4 linked regions of the Pelodiscus sinensis genome follow. The protein of the gene in region 1 interacts with the protein of each later gene in a pairwise test. Links are inferred from orthologs where the notes say so. Each region holds a gene or a part of one and is shown on either strand. Other genes may lie near its edges.

Region 1 (7,626 bases):
CTTGTGGTCATATTTAGCACCGTGACTGCTACATCCCTTTCTGCAGTAATCCTTAGTAGGCAATCACTTCCCATTCTGTATGTGTGAAACTGATTGTTCTTTCCTAAGTGGAGTATTTGTCCTTATTAAACTTCATCCTATTTACCTCAGACCATTTCTCTAGTTTGCCCAGATCATTTTGAATGATGACCGTATCCTCCAAAGCACTTGCAGCCCCTCCCAGCTTGGTATCATCTGCAAACTTAATAATTGTACTGTACTCGCTATGCTATCATCTAAATCATTGATGAAGATATTGAACAGAACCGGTCCCAAAACAGACCCCCGTGGAGCCTTACTTGTTATGCCCTTTCATATGATTGTGAACCATTAATAACTACTCTCTGAGAATGGTTATCCAGCCAGTTATGCACCCACCTTATTGTAGCCCCATCTAGTTTGTATTTCCTTAGTTTATTGATCAGAAGATCATGCGAGACCGTGTCAAATGCTTTACTAAAGTCTAGGTATACTATGCCCACCGCTTCTCCCTTATCCACAAGACTTGTTATCCTATCAAAGAAAGCTATCAGATTGGTTTAACATGATTTGTTCTTTACAGTTACCTATCACCTGATTGTCTTCCAGTTGTTTGAAGATGAATTCCTTAATTACTTGCTTCATTGTCTTCCCTGGTACAGAAGTTAAGCTGACAGGTCTGTAGTTCCCTGGGTTGTTCTTATTTCCCTTTTTATAGATGGGCACTATATTTGCCCTTTTTCAGTCTTCTGGAAACTCTCCTGTCTTCCATGATTTTTCAAAGATGATAGCTAAAGGCTCAGATAACTCCTCTACCAGCTCCTTGAGAATTCTAAGAAGCATTTCAGCAGGCCCTGGTGACTTGAAGACATCTAATTTTTCTATGTACTTTTAACTTGTTCTTTTTTTATTTTAATTTCTAAACCTACCCTACTTCCACTAGCACTCACTGTGTGAGGCATCCAATCACCATCCATCTTCTTGACAAAAACCAAAACAAAAAAGGCATTAAGCATCTCTGCCATTTCCAAGTTTCTTGTTATTGTTTCTCCCTCTTCACTGAGCAATGGACCTACCCAGTCATTGGTCTTCCTCTTGCTTCTAATATTTTTGTAGAATGTCTACTTGTTACCCTTTATGTCTCTAGCTAGATTGAGCACATTTTGTGCCTTTGCCTTTCTAATCTTGCCCCTTCATACTTGCATCGTTTGCTTATATTCATCCTTTGTCATTTGTCCTAGTTTCCACTTTTTATATGACTCCTTTTTGATTTTTAGAACATGTAAGATCACCTGGTTAAGCCAAAGTGGTCTCTTACCATACTTTCTATCTTTCCCGCGCAGTGAAATAGTTTGCTTTTGGGCCGTTAATAATGTCTCTTTGAAAAACTGCCAACTCTCTTCAGTTGTTTTTCCTCTTAGTCTTGTTTCCCATAGGACCTTACCTACCAGCTCTCTGAGTTTACTAAAATCTGCCTTCCTGAAATCCATTGCCTCTTTTTTGCTGTTCTCCCTTCTACCATTCCTTGGAATCATTAATTCTATGATTTTATTGTCACTTTCACCCAAGCTGCCTTCAACTTTAAAATTTTCAACCAGTTCCTCCCTATTTGATAAAATCAAATCTAGAACAGCTTTCCCCCAGTAGCTTTTTCAACCTTCTTACCAAGAATTTATTGGATAATCTGTGCTGTGTTAGTTTTGCAACATATGTCTGGATAGTTGAGGACCCCCATCACCACCAAATCCTGTGCTTTGGATGATTTTGTTAGTTGTTTAAGAAAGGCCGTAACCACCTCCTCTGCCCGGGTAGGTGATCTCTAGTAGATCCTTAGTATGACACTAACCCTTTTTACTCCTTATAACCTAACCCAGAGACTCACCGGCTATGTCTAGACTGTCATGATTTTCCACAAATGTTTTTAATGGAAAAGTTTTCCGTTAAAAGCATTTGCGCAAAAGAGCGTCTAGATTGGCACGGACGCTTTTCCGCAAAAGCACTTTTTGCCAAAAAGCGTCTGTGCCAATCTAGACATGCTTTTGCGCAAAAAAGCCCCAATCGCCATTTTCGTGATCGGGGCTTTTTTGTGCAAAACAAATCTGAGCTGGACTTTTGCCCGAATGGGAGCAGCATAGTATTTTTGCAAGAAGCACTGAATTCAGACAGTAGGAAGTCAGTGTTCTTGCAGAAATTCAAGCGGCCAGTGTAGACAGTTGGCAAGTTTTTCCGCAAAAGCACCGGCTTTTGCGGAAAAACTTGCCAGTCTAGACACAGCCACCATGCCTGTCTTCTATGACCATCTCCACCTCAGTCCAACTGTGTACATTTTTAATATATAAGGCAACACCTCCTTTTTTTCCCGTGCCTATCCTTCCTGAGCAAGCTGTACCCTTCTATACCAGTATTCCAATTGTGTGTATTATCCCACCAAGTCTCTGTGATACCAACTATGTCTGTTTATTAGCACTTCAAGATCTTCCTGCTTATTTCCGATACTCCTTGCATGTGTATACAGGCATCTGAGATATTGATTTGATTGGCGGCCCCGGGCTGTGTGCCATTGGCGGTGGTTAGGCCGACTGGGCAGCGCATGCGCTGTGTGTCTGCCCACGTGCCCCGGGGGTGGGCCCGCGCATACGTCATGTGCCCGGAGGCTGGGCCGCATGTCCCGGGGATGGGCCCGCACATGTGCCATGCGTCCGAAGGTGGGGCCATGCATCCCAGGGGCAGCGCCAAGTGCATGGGACGCCAAAATGGCTCGCGCTGGCCACAGGTATCAGAGGATCGCAGTTCAAGTTGGCTGCAAATCACTGTTCATTGCCAATGTGAGCAGCAGGAAGCATTGCAGACCAGGACACCACTTCCCGCTGCTTGCATTGGCCATGAACGGCAATTCGCAGCCAACAAGAGCTGCAATCCTCCGATACCTGTGGAGGCTCAGGTAAACTTGGAGATGGGGGCCTGCTAGGGACTAACCCTGAGGACCGGATCCAGCCTATGGGCCAGAATTTGCCCACCCCTTGTCCAAGTCAATAATGAAAATACTGAATAGTGCTATCCATCAGTAAGGCTCTTGCTATAGTTCAAAGGCGGAGGTGCCCTTATCAACTAATCGAATAGTTGATGGAAATCCCCTCAACAATTTGATTAATTAAGTAATCTAATTTAACATCTCTAATTGGGCGTAGGCTAAAAAATGTGTCTTACCTTTGTTTTGTGAAGCATAATACAGTGTATTCAAAATGACACATAAATCATACAAATTTCAACCTACAATATAATGTATTTTATATAAGTGTGTAATAATACTGTACTGAATCGGTGTAGGTGGAAGGGATGGCCAGCACTGAGCTCATTACAATGTGGAAGCCTAATCAGTTGCAGCTTGCCTCCTTCTTGTGCTAAGCCTGGTTTACTTAACTGGTTCTGGACCTTTCATTCCATGTCCTAACTGTAGTCGTGTTAGTCTGGTGTAGCTGAAACAAAATACAGGACTATGTAGCACTTTAAAAACTAACAAGCTGGTTTATTAGATTATAAGCTTTCGTGGGCCAGACCCACTTCCTCAGATCAAATAGTGGAAGAAAATAGTCACAACCACTCAAAGGTAGAAAAGTAGTAAGAGAATCATTAGCTTTTATTATTATAACTCTGAATTAGATACTGAACAAAAAAGGTCCCACTCTCAAAGACCTTGCAATCTACATTCAAAGTGACAAGAGTGTTTCTGAGACTAAAAAATTAAATCCACAAATGATTTCATCCAATGATGATGCGGAGGTGAAGGCCAGATGCGCAACAGAAACTGTCTACAACACAGCAGCCAAAACAGCAAATGAAGTCCCTCCTCTAAGGAAGTGAAACCACAACACAACCGGAACACAGTAAGTGATGTAAACCATTTAACAGCGTATACTTAAAAAACCGATATGGACACAGAAACACTGACTCATGGCCACCCAGGCACTGAACGGAGAAGATAAAAGCAGGAATAAAGGAGGCAAATACATGATGGAAGACTGAAGACTCCGCCCATCTATTCCATCGAGAGTGAACAGGAATAGAAATAGGGCTAGGGTGGGTGCTACAGAGCATTCAGACCCTGACATGGGACAAGCTGTAGTTTTCGCTTTTGGCTCCTCACTTGAGATTATCCCATAATTCCGGCTATGGAGAAAGCCTCCCTCGCAGCAGTCACAACTGTCACACGCGTCCTCGTCAGCCCCGGGCCAAACCCGTACCTCAGGGCTACGAGAGTAGAAGGGCGCGACTCGGGGCAGTGCTCTGGCTGCGCTGTCTGAACCCCAGTTCGCTAACCCCGCGGGGGGGGGGGGGGAGGTACCGATGTACGCGCCTGGCTGGGTGGGGGCCGAGCGCCAGCACCGAAAACCGCACGTCCTGTAAGTCAGTGACAGAAACCACGTCAAGCCAAAGGCTACTAACGCACCTGGCAACCGGGGGCCCGGGCACAGCCTCCCCCCGCCCCCGCGCTGTGAGGGAAGTGGGGTCTCGCGCAGCCGAGCCAGCCCCTCAGGAGGCCAGTCACGGCGTGGGGGGGGAAGCAACGCAACCCTGCGGGCAGGGCAGGTCCCTTCTCTCAGCTCGCTTCCCCCCGCAGCAGACGCTCAGGGAGGGCGGGGCCGGACTGGGAACAGGAGCCTCTCCTAGCTGCCGAGAGGCTCCTTGCCCCCGCTCCTGCATAGTGTCACGGGACCGGCGCATGCGCACAGCCCGCGCTGAGCCGTTGTGTACCGCAGCCTCCGTCGTCGCTCCCTTCGCAGAGCCGCGTCCCCAGGAGCCGCCGATAGCGGTGTGAGACTAGCAGCTGCCGCCGCCTCGGCCCGGCCGGTGAGTGTCAGGGCGGGTAGCGCTCCCCCCCCCAGTTTCACTCGGGGCGGTATCACCCCCCGGCTCGCTCACCGCAGCCGCCCCGCCCGGAGCTGCCCTGTCTGGGCCCCTCCGGGTACGAGCGCGCCCGGCCCGGCCCGAACGGTACCTGCGGCTGCGCGGTGTGTGCATCAGCCAGGCACGGGGAGGGGGGCCAGGAGTAAAGGCCAGAGGGTCGCTGCGCGCACCCACCGGGACGGGCGAGGGAACGGGGCGTGTCCTTGCTCGTTACTGAAACTCCTGATCCTGCCCCTTGCAAGGCGGCCAGCCCCCGTCCTGGGCACCCTGGAGACACCGCGACGGGAAATCCTGCTAATCTCCCACGTTGCCCCCCCCCGCCCGAAATAAGACAGCTCTGGCTTGGGGGTCTGGGCCGATGGGCTCTCTGGTGATTTTTTTTTTCTTTTGTCTCTACTATGGTAACCTTTTATCTCCCCTTGAAACGCTCAGCGTCACTGGCATAGGTCTGGTATGCTTATCTAAGGGGGGGAGAGTCGTAGCAAGCAGTGGCACTGTACAAACTATTCAGTGTCCAGTTCAGTCTTTTGTGCTTAGTTAATGCTCTTAGTTTTTGCAAACTAAATCACTTTTACTTCTCCAATTAGTAACACAGATCTTTATCGCTAGGATGTTCACTGTTCAGACAAGTCCTGAGACTGAAACACTACTGTATCTTGGCTTCTTACTGTAGCAGTTGTTGAGTTAAACTATTTGGCTATGTCTACACATGGCTTCTTGGGTGAGTAATATGCAAATGAGGCGAATCGTGGAATATCGCCGAGCCTCATTTGCATATCTAATGAGCCACCATTTTTTCAGAAGAGGCTCTTGCGGAAGAAGGAGCGTCTAGGCTGCCCCTTCTTGTGCAAGAAAAACCCTCTTGCGCAATGCCATTACACCTATTACTTTTCAGGAAGAACGGCATTGCGCAAGAGGGTTTTTCTTGCACAAGAAGGGGCAGTGTAGACGGTCCTTCTTGCGCAAGAGCCTCTTCTGAAAAAAATGGTGGCTCATTAGGTATGCAAATGAGGCTCGGCGATATTCCATGCTTAGTCTCATTTGCATATTATTCGCACAAGAAGCCATGAGTGTAGACATAGCCTTTGAGATTTAGAGTTCTAATGTATGGATAAGTTGAACACTGTAGAACAGAGGGTGGGGAACCTAAGGCCTGGTTTCCCTCTCTCTCCCCCCTTTGCTCCCTCTGATAGAGACAGCAAAGGTGAGGGGAATTGACTAGTCCACTCCTATCTGATAAGCATAAGCATTTGATCTCTAGGGAATAGTAAACACCTTATGATGGCTTTGGTGGAATCAGTGAACTAGGTGATAAGTAGCTGGTTGTCCTTGGTCTATTGTTGGCAGTGGACAGATATTAGAGGTGAATCAATAAAATATATCCTCATAGTACTCTGCAGATCAGGTTTTGGGCTTGTTTTAATGAAAAGCTTTTTTAAAGTAGTCTAGCTCAGTTGCCATTTTCTTTCCTGTCTTTGAGTCACTTTCCCAATCCTCCTTTTTTAGTTTTTTCAACACTTACCAGCAGGCAAGATTCCATAAACAAAAATGGACTGAGTCATCTCTGTACAGAAATCAAGTCAAGCGATTATGTGGGAAGTCAGAATCCTTTTCTTGCTCAGTTTTTCTCTGATTTTAAGTAGCACTTATAAATAGGGTAGTGATTTCTGTCCATACTTTCATTTTAACTTATTAATCAACAAACTAGCTGCAAGCTATGAAGTCTGAGGTAAAAGTTGTCTGCTGTTACACAGTGTAGTGAATAGCTAATTGCAGTGTAGAGTTTTCTCAAGTTTTTTCATCTTGGTTGCTTTTAATATTTGTATAACTCTGACCATTTTATGACAAATTGCAGCTGCATACATGACTTTTCTTTAAATAAATGCAGGTTTCAGTCCGTTAGAATAACCAACATTACTAAGGATGGCATTTCTTTGTAGAATTTTCTTTAGAAGCTTGGACAGTGCCATTCAATGATTACTCATGTTGTGGTTGCAGTTAAATTATGTTTTAACTTATCGTTCAAATGTTTGTCAAAAGTCTGATTACATTATAAATAAGAGGCTCTCAAATCCTTTCATGCTCATTCTAGTAGCATGCCTCGCAGGCCATTCTCCCATCCCTTTGTGATTGCAGAGACTACTTCCCTTCCTATTTGTGATGAGATAACATTGCCCAAAAAAATTACAAGAAAGCCAATAGAGAATCTCAGCTTACTTGGTGCAAGCAGAAGTCTAAAGGATTCCCTGTATGAGTAACGATTTTACAGAATTATCGGTTAATCTTAAACAGCTATACACACTCCTCCCCCACTCGATGCATATGGGGATGCATAAAATCATACAGAAAAGAGGCATAATCATCAGGCAGGTGAAAGTGGCTGCCTGGGGGTACCCCCCCCCATCTGAGACTGCCCTATACCTAAGTCTCCTACCCCCAAGGTAGGGATGTGAACGACTAGTCGCAAATGCTTATCGGATAGTCACACACTAGTCGCTTCCCCCCTGCCTTGCAGAAAGAGGCAGCAAGGGGGTGGGGGAGAGGAAGAGCGGGCACTTTGAAGCAGCAGCACTGTGTGGAGCCCAGGGTCTGCCTCTTTGAAACGCCGTGTGCAGTCTTGGGCCAGCTGGAGACTCCACAGCTAGCCTCAGGCTGCATGTGGCGTTTCAAAGCGGCAGTGCCATGTGGAGCCCAAGGTCAGCT
Region 2 (6,860 bases), on another chromosome or scaffold:
GGAAAAACCTCCTTCTTCAGAAGAGCCCTTATTCCTCATGAAATGAGTAAGACAGGACTTCCGAAAGAGCGTGTCTGCTCTTCCACAAATAAAAGCGGAAGAGCAGATGCATTCTCTGGACGTTCCCTGGTATCCCGGAAGAACCCGTAGTGTAAACGTAGTCCAAGTCTCCACATCCACAAGATGCTGGCTTTTACTCCTTCTGCTTGTAATAGCAAATTGCCACTATTTTATCTGGGCAAAAAGCCACCCTTGAAACATGGACATCTCCTACTGGTAGCAGGTCAGGCAGTTGCGTACCAGAGAAACATTGTCTCTATAAAAATCAGCACCTGTCAGTTCTAGTTGATCGATACCTGATAGCACAAGGATGGAATTGCACATGGAATATGGGACACACCAAGAAATCTTTATATCTCTCATAATTAGATACAGCAACAGTGTTGACAAGGGGCATGACATCCATGATGTGGAACTCAACTGCTGTGGTCATACCCTGTCAAGTAAGGGCTTATCTACATGGGAAAATGTAGAAGCATAACCAGAGCAGTATAATTCTATCAGAACAGTTATGCTGGTAAATTAACCATTTAGACAAGCACTTAGGCTAGACCAAGATAGCTAAGATCTGGTCTACACTTAAAAATTTATAGTCATGTAGCTCCGTTGTTCAGTAGCTGTGAAAAATTCACACCACTAAACACTGCAGTTAAGCTAACATATGTCCTTACCTCAATGAAAAAATAATTCTTCTTTCAATTTCTCTTCCACTCTGAGAGATAGATTACATAAACTGAAGAAAAAGAACCCTTTTGTTGTAGTAAGAAATGTCTGTGTCAGGGATGGGGAAGATACGGCCCGCAGGCCAAATCCTGCCCACCAAGGCATTTGATCTGGCCCACAGCCTGCCCTCCCATGCCCCCGTCTCCAGGCCAATTGAGACCCAGGAATGGGGGAATGCACAAAGTCATTCGCTGTTCAAAGCGGTTGGTGGGATTTGCCAGCTTCTCAAAATGGCTGGTGGTTCCTCTAGGCATCATGTGCCCCTGACAGGGCAAGGGGCAAAAGACTTTGCATGCTCTCCGATTGGTCTGGGGATGAGGGAGCATACAAAATTTCCTCCTCCTGTATTGGGTTGTGGAATATCAGGTGCTGGGTCACCTTGCTGTAGGATAACCAGGTCACCAGCAGGGGTGCTAAGGCAGGCTTCCTGCCTGTCCTGCCTAATGGGAGCTGGGGGAGCGGTGCCAGCAGGTGAGAGCAGCACCCACAGCCACAGTCACTTGCGCACCTCCACCTACGAGACAGACTGGTTGCTGGCTGCTTCTGTGTCCATAGTGCCAGGACAGGGATGGAGCCTGCCTTAGCACCCCTACTGTGCTGCTGACCAGGAGTCACCGGAGGTAAGCCCATGCCCCAGTTCCCTGCCCTCATTCCTTCCCCACCTGGAGCCTCCTTATACACTCCAAACCTCCCATCTCCAGCTCCACCTTAGAACCTGAACTCTAGTCAAAAGATAGAATTATGATAGGTTGTGGGCATCAACAATTTTCTTGAACTGGGTCATGAGAAAAAAAGTTTGAAATTGACTGCATTAGAATGGTGGTAACAAATTCGTAACTCTCTGTATTACAGTCTTACCACTAGAAAAAGACAAAGATCCACATAGCGTTAGTGGGAGCTGGACAAGCATGTGCTTTGGCCCAGTTATCTGAAAAGCAGCATGGTAAAGTCAGCCCAGTCAGCTCTGGCCCATCTTCTTTCTATGATAGGTGAACAATAATAGCTGCTTCTGAGCTCTGTAGATTTGGCTACTCAACTGTGAAATGCAGCAACAGTGAGGCTGTGTCTAGACTGGCAAGTTTTTCCGCAAAAGCAGGTGCTTTTGCGGAAAAACTTGCCAGCTGTCTACACTGGCCGCTTGAATTTCCGCAAAAGCACTGACGATCTCATGTAAGATTGTCAGTGTTTTTGCGGAAATACTATGCAGCTCCCATTCCGGCAAAAGTCTTTTCTGAAAAACTTTTGCGCAAAAGGGCCAGTGTAGACAGCAGAGATTTGTTTTCCGCAAAAAAGCCCTGATCGCGAAAATGGCGATCGGGGCTTTTTTTGCGGAAAAGCGCATCTAGATTGGCCACGGACGCTTTTCCGCAAAAAGTGCTTTTGCGGAAAAGCATCCTGCCAATCTAGATGCTCTTTTCTGAAAATGCTTTTAACAGAAAACTTTTCCGCTAAAAGCATTTCCGGAAAATCATACCAGTCTAGACGTAGCCTATGGGTGCCAACAGTCCTTTATTACAAGTAAATTCCCTTATTTTTTCATCTCTGTACAAGATCATGAGTTGCTGAGTGCTGCCAAATGGAGCAAGAAATACCCCTGGGCTGTGTCTACACTGGCCGCTTTAATTTCTGCAAGAACACTGACTTCCTACTGTCTGAAATCAGTGCTTCTTGCGGAAATACTATGTTGCTCCCGTTCGGGCAAAAGTCCTTTTGCGCAAAGGACTAAGATTTGTTTTGCGCATAAAAGCCCCGATTGCGAAAACGGCGATCGGGGCTTTTTTGCAGAAAAGCGTCTGAGTCAATCTAGACGCTCTTTTCCGCAAATGCTTTTAACAGAAAACTTTTCCGTTAAAAGCATTTGCGGAAAATCATGCCAGTCTAGATGTAGCCCTGGTGAATGCAGGTAAGTACTGTTTGTTATTAACATTAACACTAACAATGATAATATTGCAGAGACAAGTGACACAGGGCTGCTAAGAAAATAGTTCCTTATTTTTTAAATACGTTGGCAGCGCTACATGCCACAGCCCTGTAGTACATGCAATCCCTGGAAGCAGTGGTGCTGGAACAGTTTTTATAGTGTGTGTGTGGGAAGGGTTACCTGGTAGGCTCCCCAAAAATACCGGACACACTTGATCGTGGATGGGGGTGGGGGACCGGCCGGGAGGGATGCAGGAGGCAGGGCTGGCAGGGGGGAGGGGGCGGGTGCAGCCACTGGCCACAGCCAGAGTCCAACAGGCCGCACCTCCAGCAGGCACTCCCTCTAGTTGCTGGCAGAGGCCAGGTGGGAGCAGGGGAGTGGCCGGGAGCCCCTCTCTCTGCCCAGCTTCTGCACACAACCAGAGGCTCCCAGCTAGGAGGTGGGGCCAAAATCGGCACAGGGAGCCTCTGGTTGTGTGCAGAAGCCGGGCGGGCGGGCGGGGGGAGGGCGGGCTGGGAGTGCCAGCCACTGTCCCCACCCCTCCCCGCCTGGCTTTTGCACGCAACCACAGGGCTCCCAGCACCAATCGCACCCCACCTCCCAGTCGCTCCCCTGCCCCTGCCCCTGCCCCTGCCCCTGCCAGGCTTCAGTCCGGTGCCCAGACGGAAATTTAGGAAATACCAGGCATTGCACGTGTCTGGTATTTTCTGAATTTTTCTACACCCCAAGTGTGTGTGTGTGTGGGGGGGTAAGAGCCACTGAACCAAGCTGCAAATCCTGCACAGAACTGAAACCAGTTCGAGACGCCCAGTGCCAGGGGATGGGGGTGGGGGGCGGCTGTGGCAGCGCAGGAGGCCTGTCCCTTGCAGCCAGAGGAGCGGGAAGGAGCAGGATGCACCGCGAGCAGAAGAGCTGAAGGAAGGGCCCCACTAGGGGTTCAGGGGCCTCGCCTGGGGACACTGCGTCCACGGGTGGGCTCGGGGGCCGACCTGCAGCAGGCAACCCCTACACCAGCCCCCTTTCAGGTTGCCTCAGGAGTAATGGCCGCCAGCGTCACGTGACACGCTGTGGCGGGCGCGGGGGTGTAATTGTGACCCAAGTCGCTTTCCATAGTAGGCGAGGCGTAGCTCAGCCCACGTGCCTGTGGGGAACATCTATTTCCGGTGGCAGCGAGACCCTAAGCGGAAGTGCTGTTGCCTCACGGCATGTAGTGGAGGCGCAGATCGAGGGCAATAAAGCGACCGTTCCGCACCACGTGTTCAGACGCCAACCAATGCTGAGCGGCGGCGAATTGGCTCGGTAGGGGCGGGGCGCGCGGGTGACCTGGAAGTTTCCGCGCGCCAAGTCACATGGAAGGGGCGGGGGCCCACAGAGCCCCGCCTAACCTGGCGTCCCGGCCGCCAATGAGAGCTGCGCCCGCGGGTACAAAGCGGAAGTGGGGGGTGCGGGGTAGAAGTGCGCGTGAGCCTCTGCTCTCTCTCTCTCTCTCCTCCCCCCCGGCTGGTGCTGCCGCAGTGCCAGAGGCCGGGCGCGTGTGCACTGCCAGCGACGCTCCTTTCTCCCAGCAGCGGGTAAGAGCCGGACGTGGCGCGCGCGCGCCGCTCCCAGCCGCGGCGGTAGCTGGCGGCCGCGCGGGGTCGAGCCGCCCCCTGAGCCGGGCTCCCGCGGGGGGGGGGGAGGGAGGCTCTTCGCGCAGCCGGGCGGGGACTCTGCAGCGGCGGCCCCGCTGGCACGTGGGCAGGGCCGGGTGTCCTCGGGGCCTCCCATGCGGGCTGCTGTGGGGCTGCCCAGAAGCACGTGCGGCTCCGGCAGCCTTTGCCCCGGTTCCCCCTTGTGGGCCTCGGGGCAGTGCGGCTGCCTGGGCCGCTCCGCGTGGGGCAAAGTCCCTCTGGCCCGTGTTCCGCGGCTGCTTCATGGCTGGGCAGCTGCTGGGACTCCTCCCTCCCCCCCCCCCCCCCCCCCCCACGTGTGCCCAGCCTGCTGGGAAAAGCTGCCTCTTCTCCTTGTTCTCTAGTAACCCCTCCCAGACCCAGCCCGCTATGGCCGACGACATCGACTTCACCACTGGAGATGCGGGTGCTTCTTCCACCTACCCCATGCAGTGCTCTGCGCTGCGCAAGAATGGCTTCGTCGTGCTCAAGGGACGTCCTTGCAAAATTGTGGAGATGTCGACCTCTAAGACTGGAAAGCATGGTCATGCCAAGGTAAACAAGACTCACTCTCAGCCCTTTCCTGTTGGGCTTGGAAAAACTCCTTTGTACACTTATTTTTATACAAATAACCTCTTTTATATCTACAGCTACACGGAGAGCGCGAGCACACAAATCACGTGTCAAAGTCCTTGGATACATTTCTGGTTCTTCCAGTTATGGCATTATTATGTACATAATACCAGTGTGCCGGTGCTTCAGGGTGAATTTTCTGAACTACTTAATTTCAGTTTTACAGCAAAAGGGTGAACAGTTGGAGTAATATGCAAAAGCACACGTGCATATTGCCTGGGGAATCTTGAAACTTACATGGGGCTGACCACGCTTTATGAACTTTGTGGAAGCGCTCTGAGAACATAGCTGGATTACAGACTAGACCTGGAGGGAATCTGTTTTGCATTGAGGACCACTGACCCACAGAAAAATCAGTGAGGAGCACACATGAGAAGTGTGCCCCCCCTCCCCCCAAAAAACCCCACACCTTCTCTAACATGAGGGGGGCCAGGCTTGGAGATTCTGTGCTTTAGCCCCACAGGAGTGGTAGGGGGAAGAAGGGCACATTCAGTCCCCACTCCTGGACCAGATTTTTCCTAAATAAATATTTGGAAAATGTCAACTAGTACTTGTTGACAGCCTATGGGAGACAACTGAAGGTGTCCCTGATATATTAAATAGGTTTTGGGTCTTTCCAAGTGGCAGTTTAGACAAGGGTCTAGAATTAAGGTGCTGTGTGGAAGAAGGGCTCAGAGGTGGGGGGGGAGGGGATTATGTAAATGGCTTGCCTAAGACATATTTTGCACTAGTCCTTAGTATGGCTTCATTAGATTCCTCTATTTCTAGCTAACAGCCAAGTATGTCACCTAGAATAGTGGTCAGGAGCATCCACATCAACTTGATGTTCTGTGTTTGAAAGCTAACTGGCAATTACAACATGCTAGTTGAGTATTTTAAGTCTTCAGTATAGTTTCATACCTTAGTTGTACAAGCCTATGTATGTCTGTCTACTAAGCAATTGAAGCTATCAGCAATTGACTACAGATGCAAAAAAGACCTATAGTCAGGAATGGGAGCAATAAGGAAATCCATGAATTTATGGAGGTGCACACTTACTGCTTTAAGATGGGGTGGGGAACTGAGGGCCCCAGGGCTTGTCTGACTTTATCCCCTGAGGCTGAGGGCTCCCCCTATCTCCCTGAATTGGGGAGACCATGAGGCTGGAGCACATAAATGTACTAGGTAGGGCCCACTAGGCTCTGGTGTGTGATAGGGATATAGAGTAGTTGATTACCCAATAAGCCTAAGCTTATTGGGTAGTTGAGTTGACTACTTGAGTTTCTCTTCTCTCCCCCCCCCCCCCCTTTTTTTTTTTTTTTTTGCTGCCTAATAGAGGCAGCAAGGGAGCTCCCCAGCACAGTCTGTGTTCGGGGTGGGGAGGACAGGCTCTGTGGCTCTGCCTTTTGAATGTAATAAGAGCCACCTGGCTCTTAATACATTTAAAAGGCAGAACTGCAGCACAGGACCCGGTTCCTACTACCTTTAAACTGGAGAGCTGCAGTAGCCCCTTAACGACTAACTAATCGTGTACTAGATACAATTTGTATCTCGTACATAGTCATGTGTGCAGCCCCTGACTGATTTTTTTTTTTCTGTGGGTCAGGAGCCCCTGATCCAAAAGATTACACATCTGCTTTAAAAAGCTGAGGGTCTGATTACAGGCCTGGTCTACATGTGGTGAGTGGGTTGACCTTGCTATGTCTTCCAGGGCTGTGTTGTATTACTTGTATTAATGGGAAATCTCTTCTGTTTCAGGAAGCATGTGGTATATGTGACAGCTGTGCCACTGTAGTGTGGACATACCTGCCTTTATTTTTTGTCACTTTTTTGATAATTTCTTCAGGGCATCTTAGCTGCTGGTGGGCATTGAAGAAATTAAGACCAGTTTTTAA
Region 3 (7,301 bases), on another chromosome or scaffold:
TGGTAACGGGGTTTGGGACAGGGAGAAAGAGAACAGCATTTATCATTTAAATGCTGATTTTTTTCAGCCAGTGAATTTACAGGAGCATAAATAAGGGCAGAACTGGAAGCACTCAGCTCCGATCCAAGAAAAATCTCATTAAAAATCCCAGCCTTGATTCACAAAAGGAGCCAGCCATTTTCCAGGCTTAGTCTCATGTTCTTTTCCAGGATTCTAATTTTATTTTTAAGTATCTAGTCCTGTTTAGCCAAAATATTTCAAGGATAACTGAGGAAGTTAATGAATAAGCGACTCAGGCTGGGATTTGATTCAGGGGCAAATCTGGATGACGAAGAGGGTATCAAATGAACAAAGTTTTACTCAAGTTTTACTCAACCTGTGGAACTCCTTGCCAGAGGATGCAGTGAAGGCTAGAACTTTTACAGGGTTCAAAAAAGAGCAAAATAGATTCATGGTCCATCAATGGCTATTAGCCAGGATGGGTAGGAATGATGTCCCTAGCCTGTTTCTCTGGAAATGGGTGACAGGGGAGGATCACATGGGGATTTCCTGTTGTGATCCCTCCCTTTGGGGCATCTGGCATTGGCCACTGTTGGCAGGCAGGATACTGGACTAGATGGATCTTTGGTCTGACCCAGTATGGCCGTTCTCACGTTTATTAAATTAGTTATTTTTAAATGGTCAATGACAATAAATGACCTTTATTTAGGTGGGCCATCTAGAGTTTGTATAGTCTCCATGAGTGCAAGAGTCACTCCACACAAAAACACTGACCTTTACTGTCCCATCATCGCTGCCGGTACAGACAAGCTGGGGTCCCCGCCTCGCAGGATAACAGGAATTAACAAATGACGTGTGCCCCTTCAACCTTTTCACTCTCTCTCCAGTCTCACTGTCCCACACCGCCACCGTTTTGTCCGTGGATGCTGAGAAGAGCATGCTGGCGGAGGGAAAAGGTGACACAGCTATGGAATCCTGAAGGGTGATAAAATATCTGCCCCAATCCCTTTTGTTACTCTACAAACACCACTCAGACTCCGGCTTGGAAAATTAAGGGGATACTTGCTAGCTAGAAAATTAAGGTCAATATTCAGAGGCTGTTGCCAAAAGATGGCGTGGGGTTTTGTGGCAGGACCAAGGAAGGGGTAGTATAATGATGAAAAATCCCACTTTCAATGTACCCCTCAATCCAGTTACTGAAGGGGGTGTCTGCTAGCTGCCTGTAGGATTTCATCTTCTTGACCCTGCTCAGGATGATGGGGGAGGGGGAGCCATCTCTTTTGTAAAAACCTCAGATAGCATTGGATAATCTGGAAAGCTGCCAACATCGCCTTCCTAGTTTTCCTTTTCTTATCCTGAATTGTTCCTTCGTTGTCTCTCCCATCCACTTTCCCACAGATTCACTTGCTAGGGGCGGGATGGGACGGGACGCCTGGCTTTAGATCTGCTTCCCATCCATGAGCCTTGGAACTTGCCACTTAGGTTCTACTCTTTGCTCCTGCACTCTACAACAGACGTAGCGTGTGGAGCTATTTCTGGGAGGGGGAGCCATTCAAAGAGCACCATTGCTTTTTCTCTTCAGAGCCACCAGGTGAGCACTGAAGCAATGAAGAGGAGCTGTAAAGCAACTTACATTCACCAGCAGCTAGTTCCCCACTTGCCAGTTGCAGGTACCTTTTACAAGTTTTATCCAAAGGTTACTGGCTTCATCTAGCAGCTTTTCATACCAACTCTCTCCCCAAACATTTCACAGAGTTCATTTGGAAACATCATCAAGGTAGGCTAATGACAGCTCAAGTCAGTTTCATCTGATATTTACCTGCCATCAGTATTATAGTGCAACTCCATAACTGCTCCACTGTGTCCCTTCAGAGTGGCATAATTATCACAGTCCCCATACACATTCCATAGCACTGGAAAGAAACCAAATACACATAAAACTATGTTCTACGCCCACATCATCACAGCTACACTTCCTGGGCTCACTAAAATGAAGCACTTACAATATTCAGCATAATCGCCAAACTCTCATTTTAAATAGGTTTTTAAATATGTGGAACAGAAGATGTGAAAGTTCTCCTCATCTGGGGGAAGGGTAGGGAGGCCCATGTCTCCCCATGGCCGCCACCCTTATTAACTTGTTCCTCAGCTGCCACTTGCCAGGCCAGCTGCTGCACCATCCCTGACAAAGTGCAGGGAACTTCGCTTCTCTGAGCGCCCCATCAACAGACAGAGGCGGTTGGTTAATAATGTGTTCCACAACCCGAGTCATATGAGCAGTAGGATTTTAATCCTAAATGTGAGAGTTACTGGCTAACTGATTGCTATAGGGCCTGAAATAGGAGAACTCAGCAAGGGAAAGCAAGACCAAGGATCACACTAAACAGAAAAATCTGCATCTTAATTTATTTATTAATGAAGCCGCTAAAATGTAAATAGGACTATTATTGACTTCAAAAAGTATCAGTGGCACACAGATCCATAAATAGAAGTGAATAAATTAAATCTTGGCATGTCACATCTGAAAGGTTGACAATCCCTGCCCTAGTACATTCTTAGGTTGAACAGCATGTTGTTGCAGTGAGTCCCAGAGGTTAATGATCCATTGTGTAGAAAAGTATTTCCTTTCAACAAACCTGAATGTCATCTTTGCTCCTGTATTATGAATAAGCATAAATAGAAACATCTGTTTTAACTCTTCTATACCCTTCATTTTGTATCCTTCTTAAATGTAGAGAGCTGACAGATTAGATGGGATATGAAAGGAGTCCCACATCAAGCTGTCCTTATGGAGAAGGATTTCTCATCCCTTTATAGTCCTGTATGGCTGTGCAACCCATAACTACAGTGTTGCAGTTAAATCCATATTCATACAAACAGGAATCCAAAATGTATATCTGCGTTCATAAAAATGAGTCACAGATATCTGCATCCACATCTGTGGATGTGGATACCAGGGGATATAAAGCAGATATCCATGGATTTGCAGAGCTCTAACTGTAACAATACTATGTGGCTTCTTACAAGAGTTAGGGTATGTCTACATTACCAAGTTTTGTTAACAAAATGTATATCAACACCCAAAAATTGATAAAAACAAAAATTGCCTAGAGGGTGTTCACACTTGCTCCCTCTGCTGACAGAGCATGTTCACGCTGAGGGCACTGTCATTGACAGTGTGAGCAAAGCACTGTGAGTATGTATCCCACAGTACAGTGTTGTGAGAAAGCAGAGCTGGGGGCATGGCCTGGCAGGGTAAGCAGGGGTCCACGGACTAGCAGTTGGGAACTGCTGATTTAGGGCATTAAAGAGGTTACCAACGCTTTTGAAATATGCTCAAAAGCGCACAGCTCATTACTGGCCTGCTGTCAACATTTCACCCCATTGCTCTCAGCAGCTCAGTCACTCCATTGCACTTGAATGAATGGAAAGCAGTTTACACCAGCAGTGTATTATTATTATTATTATTTTTTAAACAAACCACCCTCATAGCACAAACTACTGATCATTACAAACTCACAGATCAGTCTGTCAAATCCTGCAGATGCTAAAGTTGCTCCATTAGGGTGAAACTTGCAACAGTAAACTTCTCCTTCATGCCCCGAGAGCAGCATTATAGGTGCCTGGAGGGAAGAACAGCGTGGAGGGCCCTAAAACACAGAGGGAATGCAGACAGAAATGAAACAGAATAATAAATAATGAGCTAATGAAACCTCTGAACCAGAAGGTGGACGGTGTGGGGGAGCAGGCCAGAAAACACCCCCCCTCCCATAACTCCTTCACTAGTTTTAACTCGGGTCATATTTCCACTTTTCTGACACACACAAAATAATAATAATGGCAAAGCGCGTCTCACACCCCGCCCGCCACGGGCCCCACCTCCGATGGGGAGGCGGAGGCCCCGCGCAGCAAGAGGCCTGGTCTCGAGTCACACCAAGGCCGGTGTCAGTTCAGCGCGGAGGCTACGAACGACCCAAAGAGGCGGAGCCACGTTGCGACAGGAGTTGAGCGGCCCCCCCCGGCCCGGCCCCCGCCCCTCCGGGGAGCCTCGGGGTCACCGCCCGCGGGGGACGCGGCCCGGCCCATCCCGGGCCCCCCGCGCTCACCGCCTGCAGCAGGGCCCCCGGGGGCGGCGCCCCGCCCGGGCCGGGCCCCAGCAGCTCATGCCGGGGCCGCTTGGCCGCGGCCGCCACCAGCGCCAGCTCCGGGACCGGCCCCTTGCGCTTCTGCGGCTCGATCATCCCGGCCCGCGGCAGCCGCTCGGCCTCGGGCGTCCTGCAGCGCTAGGCCTCGCTCCGCCCGCGCCCGGCCCCCATTGGGCCGCGATGCCGCGCTCTGATTGGCTGCGAACGCCAAGCGTGCTGATTGGGCAGCGCTGGCCATGCTGGCTAGGGGATTCGCCGGAGAGTTCTAGCATCGGGCGCGCCCATTGGCTCCGTAAGTACCCCGCGCGAGTATGCCGTGCCGTGATTGGCGGGCGCAAGCTTCCTCAGCTCGAAGGGACCGGGGTGCAGGTGGGATGACGGCGGCCGCGGCGCCCTTGAGCGGGTGAGGGGGCGGCGCGGCCTCAGCCCCTTCCCCTTCCCGCGCTCGGCAGGCCCCGCTCGCGGTCCGGGCTCGCTGCTTCTGCCCGCGGGAGCCGCTGAGCGTCGCGTCCAGGCGCAGGCCGGGCCCTTTGCGCGCCCGCTGGCGTCAGGCCTGTGTCCCGGCGCGAGCGGGTTCCAACCGCCCGGGGCAGCGGCGGGAGAGCCGGCCGGGAGCCCGGTGGCCCCTCGCAGAGCGGGGCGGGGAGCCTAGAGCGGCCCCCCCCGGCCCCTCCCACGGGTACACAACCTGCCCCCCCCCCCCCCGGCTCTGGTGCGCGAGGGGGATGTGGGGAGCCCAGCAGTGAGGGGTTGTTGGGTTTGGGGCCGCTCATCTCTGTGCGGCTCCCGACTGACTCTTTCCTGTGGGTCCGTGGCCGCCACCCCCCCCCCAAAGTTCCACACTCCTGTTAGAGTCACCGATTTATTTTGGCGTAACCTCTCCTGAGTAAAAACCACTTGGTCAGCTGCGTGGAGTCTACAAGGGGCCACAGGACTCTTCATTTTCCCAAATACAGACTAGGGTTACTGACTGTGTTTAAAGTTACAGGCTAACGCAGCTACCCCTCTGAGGCCATCGGCTACCCCTGTGAAATAGGAATGAAGTGTCTGTGAGGCTGAATTCTGAGAATAGGGCAAAATTGGCTAGTTATTATCCAGAGCCAGTTTATAGTCACGTGTTCATATTTTGCTGTATCTGCCTAGGTACTTGAATACTTAGTGTTTTTGAGGTACTCTTCTGACATACCCTACTGCAGAAAGCTCTTTGAAATATATCATAGCACCCTTTTATCCAGGGAGAAACTGAGGCATAAAGTTTAGTAACTTGCTCATAATTGTACTGAAAGTTATTGGGAACTGTATCATTGAAGAACTCGGATTGTCTGTTTCCTCAACTTGTTCTCTATCCACTTGATTACACTGCCATAACGTATAGTGTGAGCACAAGACACTATGGACACATCTACACAAAAGTCGAATTAAGCCACGCAGCTTCAGCTATGTCAATTGTGTAGCTGAAGTTGAAATTAGGGATGTTAAATATTGATTAACTGATTGAATAGTTGATGGGATTTAATTGATAAGGACTAGTGCACATTCCACCTTTGAAATGTACAAGAGCACCAGTGGGGGCTCTTGGGCATTGTAAAGAGGAAGCATCTCATGGAGCCTAAGGTCAGTGGGGGACTCGGAGTCCACCCCAGGCTCTATGCAGCATTTCAGTCTCTGAAATCCACAAGAGCCCCTACTGGAACTCTTGAACATTTAAAAAAGAAAGCACTACTGCTGCTGTGCCCCGCCCCATCCCATGGAGCTGGAGCTGGGGGGAACTGACTTTTAAGCTGGCTCCCCCCAGCGCCCTTCCTCTTCAACCCTTTGTTGCCTCTTTGTGATAGCGGCAGCGAGGGGAGAGGGAGAGGGAGGAGGAGTGACTAGTTGACTAATGTGTTGACTATCCGATAAGCTTTTGCTTATCAGGTAGTCAGTCGCTTACATCCCTAGTCAAAATAGCTTAATTCGTCTCTTGGCGCTGTCTACACAGCAGGTAGACGAAGGAAGAACTCTCTTCTTTTGACTTCCTTTACTCCTTGGCTGTGTCTACACTGGCACCCTTTTCCGTAAAAGGGATGCTAATGAGACACTTCGGAGTTGCAAATGCCACAGGGGATTTAAATATCCCCCACGGCATTTGCATGAACATGGCTGCCGCTTTTTTCCGGCTCGGGGTTTTGCTGGAGAAAAGCGCCAGTCTAGACAGGATCTTGCGGAAAAGGGTTTATTTTCCGCAAGATCCCGTCTAGACTGGCGCTTTTCTCCGGCAAAACCCCGAGCCGGAAAAAAGCGGCAACCATGTTCATGCAAATGCCATGGGGGATATTTAAATCCCCTGCGGCATTTGCAATTCCAAAGAGTCTCATTAGCATCCCCTTTACGGAAAAGGGTGCCAGTGTAGACACAGCCCTTGTGAAATGAGGGTTACAGGAGTCAGAGTGAGAAGTCTTCCAGCTCGCTATTATTTCGAAATAATGTCTTGCTGTGTAGAAGCGTATTTGGTTATTTCAAAATAACATCACTTATTCTGAAATAACACATCTGTGTAGACTTACCCTATGGTATCAGATATTTAGAAATTAGTGAGAGTGAAAGCAGTGCAGATAAAAACCATCCCTGAAAAGTTTTCCCAGAGTTTATTTCTTTTATCACTAATGAAGATATTTCTTTCAATAAATGGTGTCTTTCTTTATTTCAGCTACGAATAGGGTTGCTCCACAGCAATAAATGGGACATCTAATACATGGAAACAAAGTAAGCTATAAAGGTTGGGAAAGAATTGTGGAATGCATACTCTTAGAAAACTTCCCAAATGAAGTCTGTGAGACCTGAGGCAATGGAGACTTTACCTGAACTCTATGATGTCTTCCAAGGAGAGGTATGTGTGGTGTTGCTTAGGGTCACAAAAGAAGCGTGGGAGACATGAATGGTGCAAGATACTGAGAGATAATAGAGAGCCTTTCATTTTTAAATCTTCAGTTCAGAATCAACCCTAGATACAGGCAGTAAAACTAAGTGACCAATGTAAAATGAGCTTGTGTTGTGTACTCTGGTTCATAGAGAGCAAATGTCCACATCACAAAACCCACTACTGTCACAGCTGTCTCACACTGACCTCCTGTTGGCATTCTCGGTAGAGCGTTTAAAGAATATGTAGGTTAGAGA
Region 4 (7,146 bases), about 61 Mb from region 1:
CCTGCCAGCAGAGGAGACGGAGGAGCATTAGGGCTACAGCTGGTGCTTCCATCTCCCGCCCCCCAAGTGCAAAAGACAATGGCTCCTTCCCAGGTCCCATGGATCCCTGCCCCAGACTTGCTCACGACAGGAGAACCATTAACGCTGGGCAGCGACTCATGGGGAGCTCAGTTCCTGGGGCCACAGACGAGGGGGGTTCACTTCCCGCCTGCTTGCTGCCCTGCCTGGGATTAGCTGGGCAGCACCCAGAAGCAGGCAGGGCAAGGGAGACTATCCCAGCCCTGGGCCCTCCCCCTCACAGCCCCCTGCCCTGTCAAAGGGGAGTCAAGCCAGCTGGGGCCCTTCTGCCTCGGCTCCCCTGGAGCCATCATCCCAATGCCTGTCCCCTGCGCTCTTCCCCCTCCCCGAGAGCAGCTCTTTTGCCTCCCACCGACCGGGCTGGCTGCCCCTACCCACTTCGAGCTGCAGTGCAAAAATGGGCAGAGCCGAGATGCCGGGGCAAGGCAGCCAAGCCGCCTGCACCATGTGTCCAGCTGGTTCCATCGACAGGGGCTCTGGTGCTGCTCCTAATATGCACAAGAAACGGGGCTCGTATCCCCACAGGCCTCCCGGCAGGGATGTGCATGTACCGCGCGCAGAGGCTGCGCGGACCAGCTCCGGGGCTGGGGAGCGCCCCAGGGGTAGGAGGAAGCCTGGGAGGTTTGTTGGCAAAGCGGACAGACATGGTGACCTTCAAGGCCCACCCCCAGGACCCTCTTTGCAGGAAAGGAGCCAGCTAACGAGGGGCGGGGCAGCTACGGAAGACTCCAGCTGACACCAATGCAATTGGTGGCCACAGGGACCCAGCAGGGCCTGCAGCCAGTCACCGGTCTGACCAGGCCGCATGGTTGCCCCCTGTCCCCGCTGTGCCGTACGACCGGATCATGCCAACGTCTCTGCAGAGGGAGCGGCCCCATGGCAGGTCAGCACGTGCGCCAGCACTTGCCGGAGCGGGGCCTTGGATGGCACACACTTTGGGGCACGGCCCCCTCCCTCCTCCTGGTCTGTCCAGCCCAACCCACGGAGAGCCCTCCCGCGGCAAAGAGCCACAGCGACACCTGATGGTGACAGGAGTCCAGCGGCGACAGATCCAGGCGCCTGGCTTCAGCCAGGAATCGCTCGTCCCCGGTCGTCATCTCAAAAGGAGCAGGGGGGAGTCTCCTCGGGTCCGAAGCAGGTGTCGGGGGAACAGGGTCCTTTTCTGGAGCGGCGCCCTGCCTCAGCCAGCCAAAAAATCCAGAGGAGGGAATGACGAGGAGGGAGAGGAGGGTAGGAAGGAGGAGAACCCGGTGAGCCAGGGGCAGCATCTTGGGGCATGGAGAGGGATCCTGCAGGGAGAGAAGAGACAGAGTCCCAACGGAGAAGAGCCCAGGGAGTTCCAGCTACTGGGCAGCAGCGTTACAGCCAACCCCCTGCGCCCCGCACCGCTCCCTGACCTCCGATAGCTCAGCCTGGCTCTGTTAATATAGCAGGTCCCCCTGCCTAGGCGGGTCGGCACAGAACAGCTCTAATGAGCACCGTATTGAGCTGAGAGCGTGGCCCAACCAGGAGCAGGCTAACCCCTTCCAACTGGAAGAAGTGAGTGAATAGCACCAGCCTGACGTGATAACAGCTGTGCCGAGATCACGGCCTGCCACACCGATCCCACCGTCTCGCTGTTGCCTGGTACTCCCTGTGTGCGCCCACCTGTGACCTCATCGCATGCTTGGATCAGAAGCTCATTGGGAAAGGGATGGTCTTTTTCTTCTGTGTTTGGGCAGCGCCTAACAACGCCACACCTGCTATGTCTACACTGGCGGCTTCTCGTGCAAGATCACGTCCACACTGCCATGTACGAGCTGTGCTTTTGTGCAAGAGCGCCCATGGCAGTGCGGACGCTCTCTTGCACAAGAAAGTTCTGATGGCCATTTTAGCCATAGGGCTTCCTTGCGCAAGAAATCCCTGCCCAGCATCCACACTGCCTTCTTGTGCAAGAGCCCCTGCACAAGGGCTTACACCTGTTAAAAAAAGAGCGTAGCTCTTGTGCAAGACGCCCTCTCTTACCACGCCGTACTGTAAATGTCCTTGCACAAGAGCGGGCGGGCAGTGTGGACGCTCTGCGGATTCTTGCGCAAGAACGGCTGTACTTGTGCAAGAAGCCACAAGCGGAGACACAGCCCTCGGGTGCTACAATAATACAAACACCGCTGATGTTTGTGTGAAGGGCTCATGAGTCCTCCTGGGTTTCCTCCGGCATCTCTGAGAGGAAGGAATGATCCGATTGCTAGAACACACCCAGAGGGCACAGGCCTCATGGAAACTTACAAAGTTCCACTTGGATGCATGCTGGACTGATCAGTCTCCATGGGCCACACATGAGCATGCAGCTGCCTTGTGTCTCCGGTGTACAGAACCAGAAGCTGCTGTGGCCCTCCACAAGGTAACATTAAGGCACATTCTCTAGATTTTTCTGCAGCTGGTTTTAAGCAGGGAGCCAGGCTGCAAGGGTAGGAGCCTGGAGTGGTTAGGGCCAGTGCTGTTGCATACATACCTGTCACTGCAGCTTGCATTTCACCCCTTGGACCGTAACAAAACACTTAAAGAGGAAAAGCCCCCCAGGAGCAATTGAGTTAGGCTTCCGGGTCAGGTCCTGTTCCCCAACCAAGACAGGAGAAAAGGTCTCCTCCTTCATCCACTGTCGGGCTCAATTAATTCCCTTAGGCTGCATCTAGACTGGCAAGTTTTTCCGCAGAAGCAGTTGCTTTTGCGGAAAAACTTGCCAGCTGTCTACACTGGCCACTTGAATTTCCGCAAGAACACTGACGATCTCATGTAAGATTGTCAGTGTTCTTGCGGAAATGCTATGCTGCTCCCGTTCGGGAAAAAGCCCTCTTGCGCAAATGGACCAGTGTAGACAACGCAGTATTGTTTTGCGCAAAAAAGCCCTGATGGCGAAAATGGCGATTGGGGCTTTCTTGCGCAAAACCGTGTCTAGATTGGCACGGACACTTTTCCGCAAAAACTGTCAGATCCTTTCTATCCGAGGGCAGCACACTTCCGGGGGTAGCGCCATGCATTCAAACGTTGCTCCTGACTTTGGCCATCATGAAGCCAGACAAGAGAGTCTTATCAGAGAAGCCTTTCCCCTCTCTGAGTAGGGAACAGCCACAGAAAGGGATGTGAGGAATGGATCAGACCAGCCAACACGCAAGTTCAACCACATGAAATGAATGTGTCTGTGGAAAGCATTTTCCAAACCCCAATCTCTGTTGGTTTTGCTGCCTTTCAGGCCAGAAGGTGCCACGTCAGCACGTTGTACATTGTAGCTCAAAGGCCCTTCCATCTGACGCTTTGCGGTCAGATTTGTTCATACAACCCATGCACCATGGGGAAGACCATTCATGTTTCCCAGAAAGGGAAACTGAGGCCACAGACTGTGACGGACCTCAGAACAAAACCCAGGTGTTCCTGGCTTGAGCCACCAGATATTGGGGGGTGGGGGTGTCTCTGGGGCCTTTGAACAGCCGTGCCACGGCCCCTCACAAGAAAAACAAATCTGGTTGTGGAACAGAGCTGATCTTTGGATGCAGAAGCAGACACACCAGGTCCTACCTGGGGGGGTGCAGGGTCTGGGGGCGCCCTAGGGGCCTGAATTCACATGCCCACCGCAGAAGGCCCAAGCCCTGACCCTGACCCTGCTCCGCCCCCAGCAACCGGCCCAGGAGATGGGGGGGGGATAGAGGGGGCAGCTTGAGTGACAGCTCGCCTGGGGCCCATACACAGCCCAGCTGCGGACACAGCTGGCAGCAGGGCGGGGGGAGCTGTGTGTGGGCGCTGCTGATCCCAGATGACTAGGGGGGGGGGGAGCAGCCAGATGCAGCGCTGCCAGCCTGGAGCATCCCTGCGCTGCGAAGGCAAGAGGAGAACGGAGACCACGCCCCCACCAGGACCCCACGTGGGGCGGTCACTCACCTGACTCCGCCCCTGGGGAGAAGCGCCTCGTTCCCCCGGGCGCTTATGAATCCGGCGCCCGATGACGTCGCACGCGGCGGCAGCCAATCCGGAGGTGAAGGCGGGGTGAGGCCGAGCGGAGCCCGCGACGCTGGGGGCGGGTCCGGCGGTAGCCACGTGGTGGGCGGGTCACGTGGGAGAGCCGGCTGGGATGGAGGCGCGCGGGGAGCTGCGGATCGGGTTCGTGGGCGCCGGGCACATGGCCCAAGGGGTGGCGCAGGGCGCGGTGCGCGCAGGTAGGCGCGGGGTTTGGGAGAGCCCCGCCCCCCTCCTCTCCCCTCCCCCCCCACCCCACCTGCTGGGGGTCCCTGGGTAACCAGCCCCCCCTTCCCGAGGGGAGCCCCAGCAGAGGGTGCCTGGGTAACTAGACCCCCCCCATCCCAGCTGGGAGCCCTCGCCGGGGGCCCTGGGTAACTAGACCCCCCCCCATCCCAGCTGGGAGCCCTCGCCGGGGGCCCTGGGTAACTAGACCCCCCCCCCCCATCCCAGCTGGGAGCCCTCGCCGGGGGCCCTGGGTAACTAGACCCCCCCCCCCCATCCCAGCTGGGAGCCCTCGCCGGGGGCCCTGGGTAACTAGACCCCCCCCCCCCATCCCAGCTGGGAGCCCTCGCCGGGGGCCTGGGTAACTAGACCCCCCCCCCATCCCAGCTGGGAGCCCTCGCCGGGGGCCCTGGGTAACTAGACCCCCCCGTCCCAGCTGGGAGCCCTCGCCGGGGGCCCTGGGTAACTAGACCCCCCCCCCCCATCCCAGCTGGGAGCCCTCGCCGGGGGCCCTGGGTAACTAGACCCCCCCCCCCCATCCCAGCTGGGAGCCCTCGCCGGGGGCCCTGGGTAACTAGACCCCCCCCATCCCAGCTGGGAGCCCTCGCCGGGGCCCTGGGTAACTAGACCCCCCCCCCCATCCCAGCTGGGAGCCCTCGCCCGGGGGCCCTGGGTAACTAGACCCCCCCCCCCCATCCCAGCTGGGAGCCCTCGCCGGGGGCCCTGGGTAACTAGACCCCCCCCCCCATCCCAGCTGGGAGCCCTCGCCGGGGGCCCTGGGTAACTAGACCCCCCCCATCCCAGCTGGGAGCCCTCGCCGGGGGCCCTGGGTAACTAGACCCCCCCCCATCCCAGCTGGGAGCCCTCGCCGGGGGCCCTGGGTAACTAGACCCCCCCCCCCCCATCCCAGCTGGGAGCCCTCGCCGGGGGCCCTGGGTAACTAGACCCCCCCATCCCAGCTGGGAGCCCTCGCCGGGGGCCCTGGGTAACTAGACCCCCTCCCCCCATCCCAGCTGGGAGCCCTCGCCGGGGGCCCTCACACCAGAACCACCCCCCACCCTGCTGGATAAGCGAGTTCCCATGCTACAGGCCCCCCCTTCCCCTCCATGGGGGTCCCTCTGCAAGCAGCACCTGCCCCAACACAAGGGCCCCCCCCCCAACTCGTGCCGTGCTGCTGTGTAACCCTGTGTCTCACCCCGCAGAAGACATCCCAGTTCTGGGCAATGGATCCCTGTAGAACCAGCCCCCTGCATCCCACCCCACGGGACAGCTGCAGCTGGGTGCTTGGTGAACGAGCCCCTAGAAATAGCTGCTGTGCCCAGCAGTGGAGGCGCCTGCGGTCCCGAGCCCTGTCCCAGTTATGGCTCCTAGGGGCTGAGGGATCTCTGTAAGGCCCTTGCCATGCTCCCATCCCAGAAGCGGCTGCGGGTCCTTGCTGTGCGATAAGTCGTTGGCTCTCTGCTCAGGCCCAGTTAATCAATGACTCTGGGATCCTAGGGCGGGGAGGCCACAGAGAGCTGTCTGGCTGTTCCCACGATACCTGCCGCACAGGTGTGCGTTTTACCAAGGCCATTCCAGGCCTGCTGCCACCACTGCCCTCCTGTGGCAAAAGGAAGTTCCCTGCAATCGCCTGGCATCGCTGCCCGCAGCGCGCATAGCCCGTGTGCCCTGGTTAGCTGCCTGCCTCTCCGCCCTTCCGCGGCCGTTAGGAATCTCACGCTGGCTGGTGGGCAGCTAACGCTGGGCACGAACAGGCTTGGAATTGGGCCTTGGTACGAGTCTCTAGTCTGAGCATGTTTGAGGCATCGCAGGATTCTCTCCATGCCCCTTAAGCAGCGGCTTACCTCTGCTCTGTGTTTTCAGGAAAAGTCAAAGCTGCCAACGTCCTGGCCAGCGCGCCGTCCGACAGGAACTTGGGGGCCTTCAAGGTGAGCGAGGGCAGGGCATTGCAGGCTGCCCGGGAAAGGTCAGGCCTCTTCCTGAGGACTGGAAGAGCTAATAGCATCCTGGTGTCCAGAAACGGGAGGCAAAGGCGATAACGATGCTCGAGTCCACTTGCTTGTGATCCCAGCAGATGTGCAAGCTATTGAGTTCCTCTCCGGAACACCTGGGTGCCCTGGGAAATGGGGCTGGTGAGCTATGGTGGCTTTTCCCTTTCTCTCACTGCTCATCCTCAGTCCAGGTCCACACTGGCGTAACACATGTAGCTGGAGTCTGCTTACCTTCAGCCGAGCTTAGTGCCAGTCCCCGTCGTCTTCCCTCGCGACTGCGAGTATCAGGGCTGACTAGGGATGTGAACAGCTCGCTGACTAGTCACTTCTCCCTCCCTTTCTGAAAGAGGCAGCAAGGTGGGGGAAGAGAAAAGTGCTTCAAAGTGGCAGCGCCACGTGGAGCCTGGAGCTGCTGCTTTGAAACGCCACATGCAGAGTCAGCAGGGGAGGGGGGGGCTCCACTTGAAATGCCATGGGGCCAGTGGGGACTGCTTGACTGGGCTCGTGATCCCTGTAGCGCTTTCGCCTTTGAAATGTAGCAACTGCCCTGGGGTTGTTGCTACACTTCAAAGGCGGAAGCGCCCTTATCGAGTAGTCCAGGGGTTCTCAAACTTTGTAATACTGCAACCCCCTAAAATTCTACATGAATTTGTGTGACCCCCACCCCATGAATAAAGGGGGATTTGGGGGCAGCGGGGCTGGCCGGGGGAGATCGGGCAGGGAAACCGGCCAGCGGGAAGCAGGGGTGGCGGGGGGAGGAAGGGAGAGGTTGGGTACATTGGGGCTGGCCGGGGAAGATCAGGAGGAGAAGTGGGGGAGAACCAGTCGGCTGGGAGGGGGCAGGGAGAGCATGAATTGGCTGGTG

What was found.
Region 2: the proteins of SDCBP (region 1) and EIF5A2 interact in binary tests that used the Homo sapiens proteins (3 or more experiments, as listed by UniProt). The two-hybrid records come from large-scale screens. The link is inferred for Pelodiscus sinensis from reciprocal best matches to the Homo sapiens genes SDCBP and EIF5A2.
Region 3: the proteins of SDCBP (region 1) and ZCCHC17 interact in binary tests that used the Homo sapiens proteins (3 or more experiments, as listed by UniProt). The two-hybrid records come from large-scale screens. The link is inferred for Pelodiscus sinensis from reciprocal best matches to the Homo sapiens genes SDCBP and ZCCHC17.
Region 4: the proteins of SDCBP (region 1) and PYCR3 interact in binary tests that used the Homo sapiens proteins (3 or more experiments, as listed by UniProt). The two-hybrid records come from large-scale screens. The link is inferred for Pelodiscus sinensis from reciprocal best matches to the Homo sapiens genes SDCBP and PYCR3.

What each region holds. Positions count from the first base shown.
Region 1 is NC_134712.1:63,002,381-63,010,006, reverse strand, and holds the start of SDCBP (syntenin-1), read left to right. Parts: upstream 1-4,606; 5' UTR 4,607-4,866; intron 4,867-7,626. UniProt on the Homo sapiens protein: Multifunctional adapter protein involved in diverse array of functions including trafficking of transmembrane proteins, neuro and immunomodulation, exosome biogenesis, and tumorigenesis.
Region 2 is NC_134720.1:39,206,332-39,213,191, reverse strand, and holds the start of EIF5A2 (eukaryotic translation initiation factor 5A-2), read left to right. Parts: upstream 1-3,844; 5' UTR 3,845-3,977; coding exon 3,978-4,003; intron 4,004-4,117; exon of another isoform or gene 4,118-4,275; intron 4,276-4,718; coding exon 4,719-4,908; intron 4,909-6,860. UniProt on the Homo sapiens protein: Translation factor that promotes translation elongation and termination, particularly upon ribosome stalling at specific amino acid sequence contexts.
Region 3 is NC_134735.1:17,394,962-17,402,262, forward strand, and holds the start of ZCCHC17 (zinc finger CCHC domain-containing protein 17), read left to right. Parts: upstream 1-4,297; 5' UTR 4,298-4,437; intron 4,438-4,449; exon of another isoform or gene 4,450-4,548; intron 4,549-5,012; exon of another isoform or gene 5,013-5,288; intron 5,289-6,834; 5' UTR 6,835-6,948; coding exon 6,949-7,014; intron 7,015-7,301. Other genes in the region: SNRNP40 (U5 small nuclear ribonucleoprotein 40 kDa protein), read right to left, coding at 775-940, 1,820-1,913, 3,521-3,650, 4,107-4,241.
Region 4 is NC_134712.1:2,161,560-2,168,705, forward strand, and holds the start of PYCR3 (pyrroline-5-carboxylate reductase 3), read left to right. Parts: upstream 1-4,128; 5' UTR 4,129-4,180; coding exon 4,181-4,265; intron 4,266-6,153; coding exon 6,154-6,218; intron 6,219-7,146. Other genes in the region: protein brambleberry-like, read right to left, coding at 1-1, 1,098-1,346.